2 linked regions of the Yarrowia lipolytica genome follow. The protein of the gene in region 1 binds, or shares a complex with, the protein of each later gene. Links are inferred from orthologs where the notes say so. Each region holds a gene or a part of one and is shown on either strand. Other genes may lie near its edges.

What was found. The genes of interacting proteins can lie anywhere in the genome.
Region 2: YALI1_B14150g (region 1) and YALI1_B21798g share a complex: the UniProt entries of both Saccharomyces cerevisiae proteins name them as parts of the mitochondrial small ribosomal subunit. The link is inferred for Yarrowia lipolytica from reciprocal best matches to the Saccharomyces cerevisiae genes NAM9 and RSM26.

Annotation. Positions count from the first base shown.
Region 1 is NC_090771.1:1,409,770-1,418,844, reverse strand, and holds YALI1_B14150g (mitochondrial 37S ribosomal protein uS4m), read right to left. Parts: upstream 3,781-9,075; coding exon 2,065-3,780; downstream 1-2,064. Other genes in the region: YALI1_B14187g (uncharacterized protein), read left to right, coding at 39-94, 144-1,704; YALI1_B14147g (uncharacterized protein), read left to right, coding at 4,083-5,177; YALI1_B14121g (uncharacterized protein), read right to left, coding at 6,120-6,692; YALI1_B14064g (uncharacterized protein), read right to left, coding at 8,489-9,075. UniProt on the Saccharomyces cerevisiae protein: Component of the mitochondrial ribosome (mitoribosome), a dedicated translation machinery responsible for the synthesis of mitochondrial genome-encoded proteins, including at least some of the essential transmembrane subunits of the mitochondrial respiratory chain.
Region 2 is NC_090771.1:2,177,508-2,181,594, forward strand, and holds YALI1_B21798g (mitochondrial 37S ribosomal protein mS42), read left to right. Parts: upstream 1-2,296; coding exon 2,297-3,079; downstream 3,080-4,087. Other genes in the region: YALI1_B21787g (uncharacterized protein), read right to left, coding at 306-1,280; YALI1_B21816g (uncharacterized protein), read right to left, coding at 3,473-4,087. UniProt on the Saccharomyces cerevisiae protein: Component of the mitochondrial ribosome (mitoribosome), a dedicated translation machinery responsible for the synthesis of mitochondrial genome-encoded proteins, including at least some of the essential transmembrane subunits of the mitochondrial respiratory chain.

The DNA.
Region 1 (9,075 bases):
AACCAGGAGCATCATCCCTCTGCACAACACACTACACAATGCCAGCAGACCCTCAGACCATCCAGGGCTACAATGTCGTGACGCTCTTGAAGCGGTGAGTCAATTGACACGAAATGAACCCTCCAAGTCACCCACTAACCCAGTCTCGAAGCCGCCACGTCTCGTCTTGAAGACCTGACCTCCGCTCAAAAGGCGCATGTTGACGAGCGAGGTCCCCAGAACGCTGCAGCGACCAAGGCTGGCGTTGATGCGCCCTCCCGATCCTCTGCTGCTCCCGCTGCTCCCGCTGCCGCCACTTCTTCTGCTGCAGCCGATGCCGACCTGCCCAAGTGGATCTCCGAGTTTGATGCTCTCATCAAGACCCACGTTGACCCCTTTGTCGCTACCTCCAAGCAGCTCGATGCCACCATTGGCGAGCAGGCCGAGGCTTTCAAGAAGGCCTTCGATGCCCAGCGAGACTTCTTGGCTGTCGCTGCTGTCGCCAAGAAGCCTGAACCCACCTCTTCCGCCTTTGCTGAGCTTGTCAAGCCCATCTCCTCCAACGTGGAGTCCATCATGAACATCCGTGAAAAGACCAGAGACCCCAAGGTGTCGTCTCATCTGGCCACCGTGGCCGAGGGAGCTCCCCTGGTCGGATGGGTCGCCTCAGACCTGCCTCTTCCTCTCATTGGCGACTTCAAGGACTCCGCTCAGTTCTACTCCAACCGGGTGCTCAAGGACTTCAAGAGCGTGGACCCCAAGCATGTGGAATGGGTCAAGGGTTTCAACGGCATCGCCGACGCTCTCCAAGCCTACGTCAAGGAGTTCCACACCACCGGTCCCACCTGGAAGGTTGGAGGTATCCCTGTTGAGGAGGCTCTAAAGACTCAATCCAAGTCTGTCGCTGCTCCCACTGCTGTCCCCGCTCCCGGTGGAGCTCCTGCCACAGGAGGAGGCCCTCCTCCTCCTCCTCCCCCTCCTCCTCCTCCTGCTAGCATCTACGAGACAGACTCTGCTGCTCCTGCTGCTCCTTCTGGTGGTATGGGTGCAGTGTTTGCTGACCTGTCCAAGGGCGAGGCTGTCACTGCTGGTCTGCGAAAGGTCGACAAGAGCGAAATGACCCACAAAAACCCCGATCTGCGAAAACAGGACCCTGTTGGCGCCTCCGGAAAGGCAGCTCGACCTCTTCCTCCCAAAAAGCCCGGATCTTTGTCTAAGGCCACTCCTGCTGCCCCTGCCCCCAAGCAGCGACCCGCCAAGACCGAGCTGCTTGACACGAAATGGTTTGTTGAGAACTACGAGGGCGACCAGAACATTGTCATCGAGGGCGAGATGAACCAGGGTGTCATGATCGAGAACTGCAACAACTCAACGGTGCAGATCAAGGGCAAGGTGTCGGCTGTGTCTCTCAACAACTGTAAGAAGCTTGGTCTTCTGGTGGAGAACCTGGTTTCTGGAGTTGACGTGATTCGATGCAAGGACTACGCCATCCAGGTGACTGGTGTTACCCCCATGGTCACTATTGACCAGAGTGACGGAGGACAGATCTATCTGTCCAAGGAGAGCATTGGTGCTGAGGTGTATACTTCGCAGACCACTTCCTTAAACATCAACATCCCCACCGACGATGGAGACTATGAGGAAGTGCCTGTTCCCGAGCAGCTCATCCACAAGATTGTCAACGGCAAGCTCGTCACCTCTGTTGTTGATCACAGCAGTGGTTAATATTTAATAACATTGATACGAAAGATGTAGGATACAGTATGTATACCAACAGTATCGCTACAAAAAGTACGGCACAAGTAACTGTCATATATATACTGTATTTCCGAAATCATATTTGTTACAACACAAGTACATACAGTACATACTACGAATGTCGTGGAATGTGATAAAGACGAATATGATGGACATTGACGTTACTATGCTTTCCGTATTCATCTATCCATATTAATACAAGTAGTGCTACAGTAATTGCACATTTTATACAAGTACATACTGTACATACTATAGTATGTACAACAGTTGAGACCGGTCTCTACAGTATTCAAATTTCGCTTTCAATGCTAATACAGTATATACAAACTACTTCTTAATGTAGTATAAGTTGGCAAACTCGTGGTTGATCAGAGGGAAGGGAGAAATGACCTCCGACATTCCGGGTCGGGCAACAGGGTCTCGCAGGTAGACGGCGGAGCAGGTAGTGAAGTCAACCTCAATGTGGTGGGGGTAGATAACCGAAGGAGAAATGAAGGGTCGGAATCTCCAGGGTGTAAAGTAGGGCTTAGAGATATCCTGTCGGCCGTACAGATGCTTCTTCTGCCAGGGGAACTCCTGGGCGACCTCGGCCTCGTTTTCAGCGGCTTCGGCAGCATCAATCTTCTCTCGCAGAGGTCCTAGCAGCTGCAGCCATCGGGGGTTGACCTCGGTGTCCTGGACAGAGGGATTCAGCAGCTTTTGCTGATGCTCATTGTAGCTGTCGTGGATAGAGTCAGCCACGTTGGTCTTCATTTCCTGGATGAGGCATCGGGCGGCGTAGACCACCTTTCGCTCCTCGACTCCGGCAAACTCGGCTTTTCGCGAAATTAGACAGCTGGACACAATGTTCTTCGTATGAGGGCTCTCGATGGACGAGACGTGGTTGATGTCCTTGGGATGGATAGCAAACTCCAGCTTCTTGGAGCCGATGCCCGCCATGTTCTTGTTTCGCTGCTCAATAAGATGATTGGCATTGGAGCGCACGGTCTCGGCCTTCTTTTGCTCAGCAGAGCCCTCTACCGCGGCCTCAGCCTTTGTCTCAGCCTCCTGGGCCAGCTTGGTGGATCGCTCGTTGAGAAGCTCAATGACGGCCTCGGGGGTTAGGAAACCCTCAGCAGTGGGAGCGACCGGGTCCGCACCGTTGGCAGGGAACTGCTGGTCAATTAGCTTGAGTAGCTTCTCACCCAGAACCTTGGTATCGTCAGTCTGGGTCTTAAGAAACTCGTCTCGGCCAGTGATGAGATCCTCGAAGATGGCAGCGGAGCACAGCTCTCGGAGACGGGCCAGCATGGCCTGGAAGGCCACCTCGTTGGCCTTCTGAAGCTGCATCTGCGTCTTGGGGTCCATCAGCTTTCCAGCCTCTCGCTTCTTGATCTTGTCGAGACGCACGTTCCACATCTTCTCAGGATCATCGTTGCACTTTTTGATGTACTGGTTGTACTTTTTGATCTGTCGGTTGTCGATCTTGACAGCCTCCTCAACGGAAGGCTTGGCCTTACCGGCAGCAAAGAGGACCTTCTCGGGCTTGACTGAGATGAGATCTCCGGGCTTGAGGGTGTAGGAGGCATGCTTGATCTTGACTCCATTGACAGTCACATTGCCCTGTCGAATAAACTGGCCGGCCTGTCGAATGGATGCGGCAAACATGGACCGGAACACGGCAAAGTCCAGTCGCTTCTCCAGATGCACAAACGTCTGCATGGCAAACGGCGTCTTGAGCTTTTTGTTGCCCTCGGCATCAAACTCCAGCATCTGATCGTCGAATCGGTTAGCCATGATTCCTTCGGAGGTCACGTCGTCTCCCAGAGGCAGAACCACACCCTGCAGCTTCTTGGGGATCTGAGTGGTCAAGGTACCCTCTCGAATGTGTTCTCCATGATAGGCTCGCAGCTCTCGCTTGGAGGCCCACTTCTTCTGGAAAAGCGTCTTTTCATCCCGCAGAAAGTCCGTCTTCTTGTACAAGTTGTACAGGTTGCGGGGGTTCCATGAGGCTCGCACCTTACCTCGAGCCAGAGAGAAGAGGTTTTTCGCTTTATGGGGCATTTTGGGGTGGTGATGTATATCTTGTGATTGAATTTTTCACTCAGATGCACGGTAGGGTAACTGAGGTGTAGGTGGGAGTAAATGAGAGGTGACAAAAGTCCCAATCTTAAGAGAGTTTGGTGATGTGTAAATGTTAGTTGGGGGTTAGTTGGAAGTTAGTTGAAAGTGCTACAGACAATGTAAACACTCGCTACACCACCAAGCACAAGGTCAACGTGCAGGAGGTTGAGAGGTAGCACACGAACCGTAGAGCCGGAGCACCATCTACAATCACAACTGTACCATACTAACGACATTGCATCATGAAGAAAAAAGAGGAAGATGAGACGGGGATGGTGAAAAGGGAAGATACAGACGACACATCGACACAAGCAGTGGACGGAGCAGAAGTTGAGAGTAACGGACAAGGTGATGCCGGAACAGACTCTTCTCCATGGTCCATAGAGAGCGAGACAGTGCTGTTCAACTCGCTGTGCAAGTTCAAGCCCGTGGGCATCCACAAACATTTCCGCATGATTTCTCTGTCGGCTTCGCTGAACTACTATTTTTCCGAATCGCCGAAGGACGCGCCTGTGTTCTCTCACCAGGACGTGTGGGACAAGCTGGGCACTCTGTACGACCTGGATGGACTAGACGAACTGGAGTACGTGGCCGACAACCAGGATTCGGACATGGACGAGGATGAGGATGACGAGGCTGCGATTGAAGGGATCGCAAAGCGGTCGCAGATGAAGGAGTTCGTGCTGCCGTTCCGCGATTATGGGTTTCTGCAGATTGAGCAGGCTACTGCGGTTGCCAGTGAACAGTCTAGTCCAGCCATGTCGCGCGAGCAGTCTGTCTTGGAAGACGGACCCACAGCTGGGGATGAAAAGAAGGGCCTTGCTGACGATGACGACGAGTCCAGTGATCTGGATGAACTGGACGACGAGGAGATGAAACTGGCGGAAACCAAGATCAAGGTGGAGGGAGAGCAGCAGGAACGGGAGGAGAACGGAGGAGAAGAAGAGCACGACACCATGGAGGGTAGTGCAGAGCCCGAGGAAGCTGAAAAATCGGAGGAGGAAGGAGAAGGAGAAGAATCTGGAGAATCGGAGAGTGAATCCGGTTCGGAATCACAGTCTGACTCGGACGCACAAACAGGCCGCCAACGAAGAACGCGAGCAGCCACTGCAGCAGCTGTTCGTGGCCGAGGGACCTCAAAGGGCAAGACTGTTCGCGACAAAAAGTCGTCGCCCAGCACCCGTGCTTCCTCCGCTCCGAGACGGTCGACGAGACGGAAGGCGACAACGGAACCCGAAGATACAGCTACAGAACGAGAAGAGACGCCGACGCCGAAAAAGTCGTCTGGTGGGGTGAAGAAACCTGCTCCTCGGCGCAGCACCAGGAGAAAGAAGTGATGAGGTGTGTTTGAGATTGAAGGGGGGGAGGAATGTACGAGTACAAGATACCATATATAATGCTTACTAATGACATAAACATGAGCTTGGATAGCTGGGCTAGCTGTAGAAGATCTGTACTTTTAGTAGTTGGGATGGTACAGAAGAGCTTCTACTGCTTTTACTCACGAAGAGAGACTTGGTATGTTTACCGTAACTGGTAAAGTAAACAAAATCGTAGTGTAATTGCGGTTACTGTATGTGTGTACATTCGTGTATACATGACACAGGACATCGGAAGCCAACCACCACAACATGCTGGTCCTAAAATACTGTAGCACACGCCCTTGATTTTTTCGACTAGCCAGAAGCAATTAGCCATCCTTAGCGACTGTCTAATTTCCTCGGGCTGACACCTGTCAAATCTCCGCGGTACTGGTACAGTGCCGGTAGCCGAGGAGGTGTCAGATTAAGATGGAGTAACTGTCTCGTTCCAGTACGAAATTACCGAACGCCAGCGAGTGCATTGTACTCATACATTACTAAGCCTAAGCAGTGTAATTACTCGGTACGGGGTTCAAGCATATAGCCCACAGAGCGGACGAACAAACCCGTTGCAGGCACCACAGCTACGCATCTTACAGCGCATCTCCTTGCCAGTATGGTCCCATAATAGCTGCCAATGTTTGAAATGAGTGCATGTTTTGGTACAAGTATGGTGCACGTTGACGTCATGTGGAGTCTAGCCTGTGTTTTTACAGTGGTGGGTGTCCGGGCAGTGCAATGGATGTTGAACGAAGGGTCTGTGTGGTCAATTGGAGCTAATGGTACCGTAACGGCACTTGCTGGCCATCTCCAAAGGTCGCTGGGTCACGTGACTCCTCATAGCTAATTACATCTGTTACTTTACATAGTGTGACACGACTGGGGATGGTCGTCCATCATTCATCATGGTCTGCCAATTTAGTTGATACCGAGGAGCTCAACGTCAAAGACAAGAGTGGCGTTGGGGGGGATGAGGCCGGGGAAACCTCGCTCGCCGTAGCCGTAGTCACCGGAGATGGTGAGCACGGATCGCTCGCCGAGAGAGAGCTTGGGGACACCCTCGTCCCATCCTCGGATGACATCGCCGACACCAATGGTGGTCTTGAAGGGCTCGCCTCGATCTCGAGAAGAGTCAAACTTCTGGCCGTTCTCCAGAGTGCCCACGTAGTGGATGGTGACGGCATCTCCCTTCTTGGGGTAGGTCTTGCCGTCGCCGGGCTGGAGCTGCTTAACTGTGACACCCATGTTTGTGATAGAGGCGTGGAAGGCGCGTGTGTTGGTGAGTAAGAGAGGGGACTTGAGAGGGCTAGATCGAAGGCTTCTAGCTGTAAGTGATAGGGTCCGGAACATTGCGTCTGGTTGTGGCGGGCCTAGAGTATATAAGGTCTGTGAGGCATGGGCGAAATTTGACTTTTTTTCCGACACTTCCGACAGCTTCTTTGCACTTCCAAATCTTGCGGTGGGGTCAGGGCGGATTGAACAATTGGGCATATGTGCTGCTATTTTCGGTAGTAGAAAAACCAATTGCTACATATAACACCCGTCTGTATCCGGCAAGTTGTTTACTGCCTTTTTGCCATCTATTCTGCTTCTGTTCAATCGAATTGTAGGTCCACCCACCGCTATTTCCCATCTCCTCTAATCGACCTAAACTCTCGACCATCTGGGCAAAAGAGGGCAAAAAAAGGGCACAAAAAAAGGCGACAATAGACTTTGGACACCTCTCATGTACTATGACGATTGCCAACGCTAGACCATATGTGGGGAGGTCTAGCCGTGTCGTCTAAAGGGGACAATGAAATGGAGCCCGCGGAGGAGCATCTTTTTGGCACGATTGTTTCATGATCCCTTTGCGCTATAACTATTGGAAGTGTCCACTTCGTGAATGCAGACCACCATTCGCCTTAACTACCTAAACAGGAAGTACACGTCTCTCTACAACTGTCTTCTCCACAGACTCCGTATTGGAGTTGACTTTGTTTTTTTAAGGGCACCACTCACATCACTGCAACTCTGCAACTCTAGCAAGCCACCTTGAGCAACGTGTGCATCACAGACAGACACCAGAACACGTGCCTGAGAGAGGGGGAGGGGGCCGGCGTGTTTAGCGACATTTAATCTGGATCACGTGACGCAAGTTCTGATTTTTTTTCTTCTCAACCGACGAGTTTCTGCAGCTCTGTTATCTGCTCTGATGCCTCCTATAAGTACCTACTGTACTTGCTTGTAGTTACAGTGCAATACACCTTGGCTAATTTATATATACTCTACTGGCCCAGAGACACAGTGTCTACACCCACCTACACAGCCAATAGCCGCACGCGGCTTCCCAAAGCGGTTTCCGTGGCTGCACTGCGATATTTGAATGCTGGAAGAACCCCATGGTTATGGTATATTCAGGGGTACAAGTGGAAATACGGGACCTTATGGATTGTACCTGTAATGCTGTGTGTGTTCTTCCAGCTTCATCATTGCGTGTCTGATGGTTGTCCGTATCTCTAACGTGCTTGTACTCTTCCATTAGCTCATCTCACTGAGTAGTTGTACTGTTGCTACTACAAGTAGTATCGCAAGAGTGGGCCATGCAGCGGCTTACATACTGGTAGACCAAGTGGCTCTCGCCTTATGGTCCCGTCACGTAATACACGCTGTCTCAGATGTCTTGGCTAGAGTCCCTGCTTTGCGAGCTACTGTGGAGCTTCGAGTAGGAGCTCGGGACGAATACGAAAACAACGCTCAAAGTTGTCTACTTGTAGACAGCCAGAAAAAGTAACTGCTTAATCTATTCTCGGACTTATCAACAAGTCCAGACATAGCCTCAGAACTTGTGATTATTCTGATTGCTATCGGCGGATAATCCATTTACAAATACTGTATTTACCAGTCGGGTAGATATGCCCTTCCGATCATTCAAGAAGATAAAAGATATAAGAATCAGGTGTATTGGCAACTGTTTCAAATCTGAACCAGTAAGACAACATATCGTCCAACGAGATTACATGGTTCCCTTTGAACAAACGCAAGCCCCAAGTGCGTTCTCGAACCGTTTAAAATCACTCCCATTCAATGCTCGATACTGTCGGACTCCTAAATCACGTTGATCTCTACTCTGAATAGAAGCATAGATAATGCATGCACCCAGCAGTGGAGGCCATAACACCCTGACTACTGAGTACAAGTACTCACTTGCACTTGTACTTGTGGTACACTCGCTCTAACCCGTTTGTAAACACCACCATAATCATCAATCGTTATTCATTTCTATAGCCTTAAACCCTCCTCCGTTCTCACATCCTCAGATACGTCTCATAGGTTCTGGCATCAGCCCGAATCTGACGATCCCCAGACAATACACTCAACGTCTTTCTATACACGGGGTCGTACACCTTGATATTGGGCAGTTTGAACCACGTCAGACCAAGACCAGCGTTGGGGTTCTCTTGATGCACCAGTTGGGCTGAAATGAGCCGTCGGGAGAACGGCAGTAGACGCAAGGAAAACTTGCGGGGACCGTCATATAGGAAATCCGCAGGCGTGTCCTTGGGAGGAATCATACCAGTGGCAGCCACTGGTGCAGTAGCGTCTCCCAAAGTCATCATGAAGGTCAGAACATGAGCAGTCGCATTCTCAATGTAGTAGTCCATCTGGAATGACTCTCCTCGAGAAACGGAGCCGTTGGGAAGATGGGCGATACATCGAGGTTCCAGAATAGGCAAGGTCAGACGAAGAGGGTTGGCGTCATACTCAAAGGACTCTTGCAGTTCGGCACCGTGTCGCTTCCATCGGATCTGAAGAACAGCCTCCACGGTGACACTTCGCACCTCCAGATCTTCTCGATATGTGTCAAACTGACAAGTGGACAAGAAAGAACCAT
Region 2 (4,087 bases), about 760 kb from region 1:
CATATACTGGGGTGTATGTATTCCGTTTATTTTTTATGTAAAAGTAAAAACACTAACTCCTGTCATTCTTTCTATGGCACATCTTTTTGCTTAATCAACTTTGCCACTGATTCTTGAAATATGGTGCAGTAGCTACAGTGCATACAGTAATTATGTACATACAGTAACTCGTAGAAGTACAGGTTCATACAAAATGTACAAAATGATGTACATATGAAACATTGCAAGTATAAGTACAAGTACGACATAGTCTACTACTTATCCCCTCAGCCCTATATCAGATGGATTCTATACACTATAAACATTTAGGACATGTCGTCAAAGTAGTCCCCTCCTCCCATGGAAAAGAGTCCTCCCGAGCTTCGACTGTGTCTGGAGAAATAGTCGAAATCAATACTAACGGCGGTGGCCAATAGAACAGCTCGCTCATCCAATGTCATGGGTCCCACAACCTTACCGACATCAGGAACGGCCAAAAAGGCCGAAGGGTCCATTCGCAGTACGTAGATACCGGTATCTGTGAAGAACTCTCGTCCCAGACCCACCCAGTTTCGATCCACAGCTCCCATGATAGCCCCTTCCCTGTCACGAGCAGGAAACGCAAAACTCAGGAAGGGAGCGTCAATGTCTGCAAACTGGTCGTACTCGTCATTGCTGTGATGCTGGAATAAGTTGTATTTTCGTCTCCATAAGTGCCATTGTTGCTGTGATTCTCCAATAATGATGCCGTCGCCCTGGCTAGCGGGAAGAATAGCCTTGATCTTGGAGTTAATAAAGGAAAACTTTCGAGAAATGGTCAGCAGATGGTTGCCTGCGTTATCGTAGACGTTGACCTTGAAGGGTCGATGAAGTCTGTACACCTGTCGCATGATAGCCTTGACAAAGCCGAAATCCTCCTCCTCCATGAACCCAAGCTGGTTTCCATTGCCATCCATGATGATGTATTTGTTGGCCTGTTCAAAGCCTAGGATCAGGTTCATCATCTCCATACGACGTTCAACCACCAGAATCGGCTCAGAAAGCATTCTGGTGATGGCATCAGCACCAGTAAGCACTCCGCCAGGGTTGGGTACCTGGTTGTAGTATGCAGGCTGCACCACATTGGGGTTCACGTTTGGATCCTGGGTGTCGACAGGTCTGAATCGTGCTCTCATCCGACGAGCATCGCCTCGAGGAGGATGCTGGAGTCGTAAAGATGACGAAAATGGCCGTAGAAAAGTACACACTGGCTGCCGGGAGCTTATCAAGCCGCTCAAAGGCCGTAACTGTCGCACAAACATGGTTGGACAACGTAGAAGAGAGACTGTTCACGGTGGTAGCAATGTCATACTGGATACATGCAAAAGTATGCACCTAGAGCTTGCATGCGATGGGCTAGTGGAGGTGTACTTTTCCCGGGATTGTGTGTTTCCAAAGAGCAAGAAATACTGGATTCCATTATTTCATGTCTGTGGAGCTAGCTCATAGACCTGGTCTTCTCAGTAGTCATTAATTTGACATCACACACAGACCCTGTCGGTATCCGCCTTGCCTTCAAAACGCCCAGTTGGGAAGACCACTCGGAAGTGTAATTTGGTGCCTGATAGTGTCGAGTCACTGTGATATAGCTACGAGTAGCTACAGTAGTTACTGTATATGGTCATACTAAATAGTACTGTACTTGTACGAAAGCCACAAGTAGGGTAGCTACACTATACAATGCTGTATTGTACTTGTACTAGCACGAGCACGCCTACTGTAACAAAATATAGAGTCGTACCCGCAGTTTTCGTAGACATTTGGAGATTATGTAAGCACACCTTTCGTACTCGTACTCGTACTGTAGACACCTGGGGAAGGGGGGAGGGTGTGATAACCGCACTGGTCGGGTCTCCACAGATGAGTTACAGCAAGGCCTGACAGTTTGACGTTCAGTGACAATAATAGCGACTCCATTACTGTACCTGACCCGCTCTTCCGATCTACTCCTTCCAGACCAACCAGCGATTACGTACATAAGGTACAGAACTCCCAACTGGCTAACACAAATTCTTTTGCTGTGAGACCCGCGCAAGTTTGTACAAGTACGAGAACATTAGGAATGACACAATTGTTGATTTGTAATTAATTCGCAGTCAAATAACTTTTTCTTACACCGCTATAATATCTCCAAAAAAGGCGCTCTACTACGTAATCCCTTGTTGTACATTTATATCTTCCTCGCCCACAGCTCATTCACCAGCCAATTAAGGTTACCGTACAAGGGCCAAAATTTCACTTGGACACATCCAGATCTCCATTTTGCACTCCAGACACCATGTTTCGAAACGTGATTAGCCGAGCCAAAGTGACCCAGATCGGCTCGATCCGATCCATCCACACCCCCGCCAAGCTTTCACGAGAGTCCAAGTACGCCCAGAACGGCCTGGAGGGTCTGTACTCCAAAAACGGCTTCAACACCGCTTGGACCGACTACCAGCGGTTCCTGGTGTCCAAGCTCACTGACCTGACCGTCGACACTCCTCTGCAATCGCGATCCCCTTTTGATATTTTGCGATTCACTGCCGCCGACCGAGATCAGGCTGCTACATTCAACTTTGCCTCTCAAGCCTTCAACAACCACTTTTTCTTCGAGGCTCTGGCCGAGAAGCCCGTGGCCCAGACCACAGCGCCGACAGACTACCTGCGTTCTCGACTGGAGGACAAGTTCGAGTCCATGGAGCGAGCCCGAGAGAACTTTTTGGCTACCGCCGACGAGATGACCGGAAACGGATGGGTCTTCCTCTACGAGGGAGGAGACAAGAACATGTACATTTCGGCTCACCACAACGCAGGATCTCCCTTTTCGTTCCAGCGATTCCAGCATCAAGAATTCAACTTCCCCGCCTCCGAGGAGGTCAAGCGGGACCAGCAAAACATTGAGGCTGCTGTGCGAAAGGGCCTCAAGGAGTCCATCCTGCCTCTGCTGGCCGTCAATGTGTGGCAGCAAGCCTACGTGGACGACTACGGAGTCAACGGCAAGTACAATTACTTGGAGAACTATTGGGAGTGTATTAACTGGGATGTTGTCAACGCTAGACTGTTTGTTGGTGCCCAGTAAGGGATGAATATAAAAAAGGGGGATCTGAATGTATATAGTTGAATGATTTTATCATGTAAGGGATGTCGGCAACAGTACGTCTCCCCACGGTTTTCACGTACTTGTAGTGGCTCACGTAGACACTATCTAGTGCTCTGTATACCTGAATCTGCTCACGTTGTACAACTGTTTGTCCATGTATCAAAAATAGAAAGCATTAATGTTTACTTTAGTGTGTAGCCAGAGGCTCGTGCTGGAGCTCTGCTCATGAGTCTGAAGCTCAGTACAGTATTCTTTTCAGACCCCCCATCTACTCATTAGAAATACCTCACTTCCAGCGTTAGAAACCGAAGTTCTTACGCCATTAGTCATTGTCCCATAGACATCCAATAAATAGCTCACTCTTTCTCATTATTACCTGTTCAGCTCTCCTGCGCCAACAATCAGCTGAACCAAATCCTCGTCCTCACACCAATCGATCCCAGAGGCGGTGATCAGAGCTGTGAAAATCTCTGCCAGAACTCGTCGTTTGTTTTTGGTGTTGTGTAGCTTGGCCTCGAGCTCACTAATAGCCTGGTTGTTTTGATGACGGTCCGCGCTCTTGTCATTGGCCTTCTCAATCGACCGAACTATCGACCGCTGCGTGTCCAGCGAAGCACGGTTCTCGCATATTAATACATCCAGCTGTTTGCGGAGACCAGTGACGACTATCAGGCTGTCAAGAAGGTCACGTGATTTTTCGTCTCGCAGAGCCAGTAGTGGCAGGAGTGACGACTCGTGAAAAGTTGTTTCTCGTCCGTGGTGAATGGCATTGAGAATGCTTGAGGATGCAATGGAGTCGCGTGTGACGCGCCTTTGGACGTTCAAGCGCGTTTCCAGCTCCTTCACGCGACTTTTAAGCGTCTCAATGTTTGCTTCCCTCAAGTCCTCGGGAAGATCACTCACATCTGACTCTTTGACGGCTCGTTCCAGTGCCAGAGACTCGTAAAGATCGAGCTTCTCGAGGATTGTAGCATCGGTCTCGTTTAA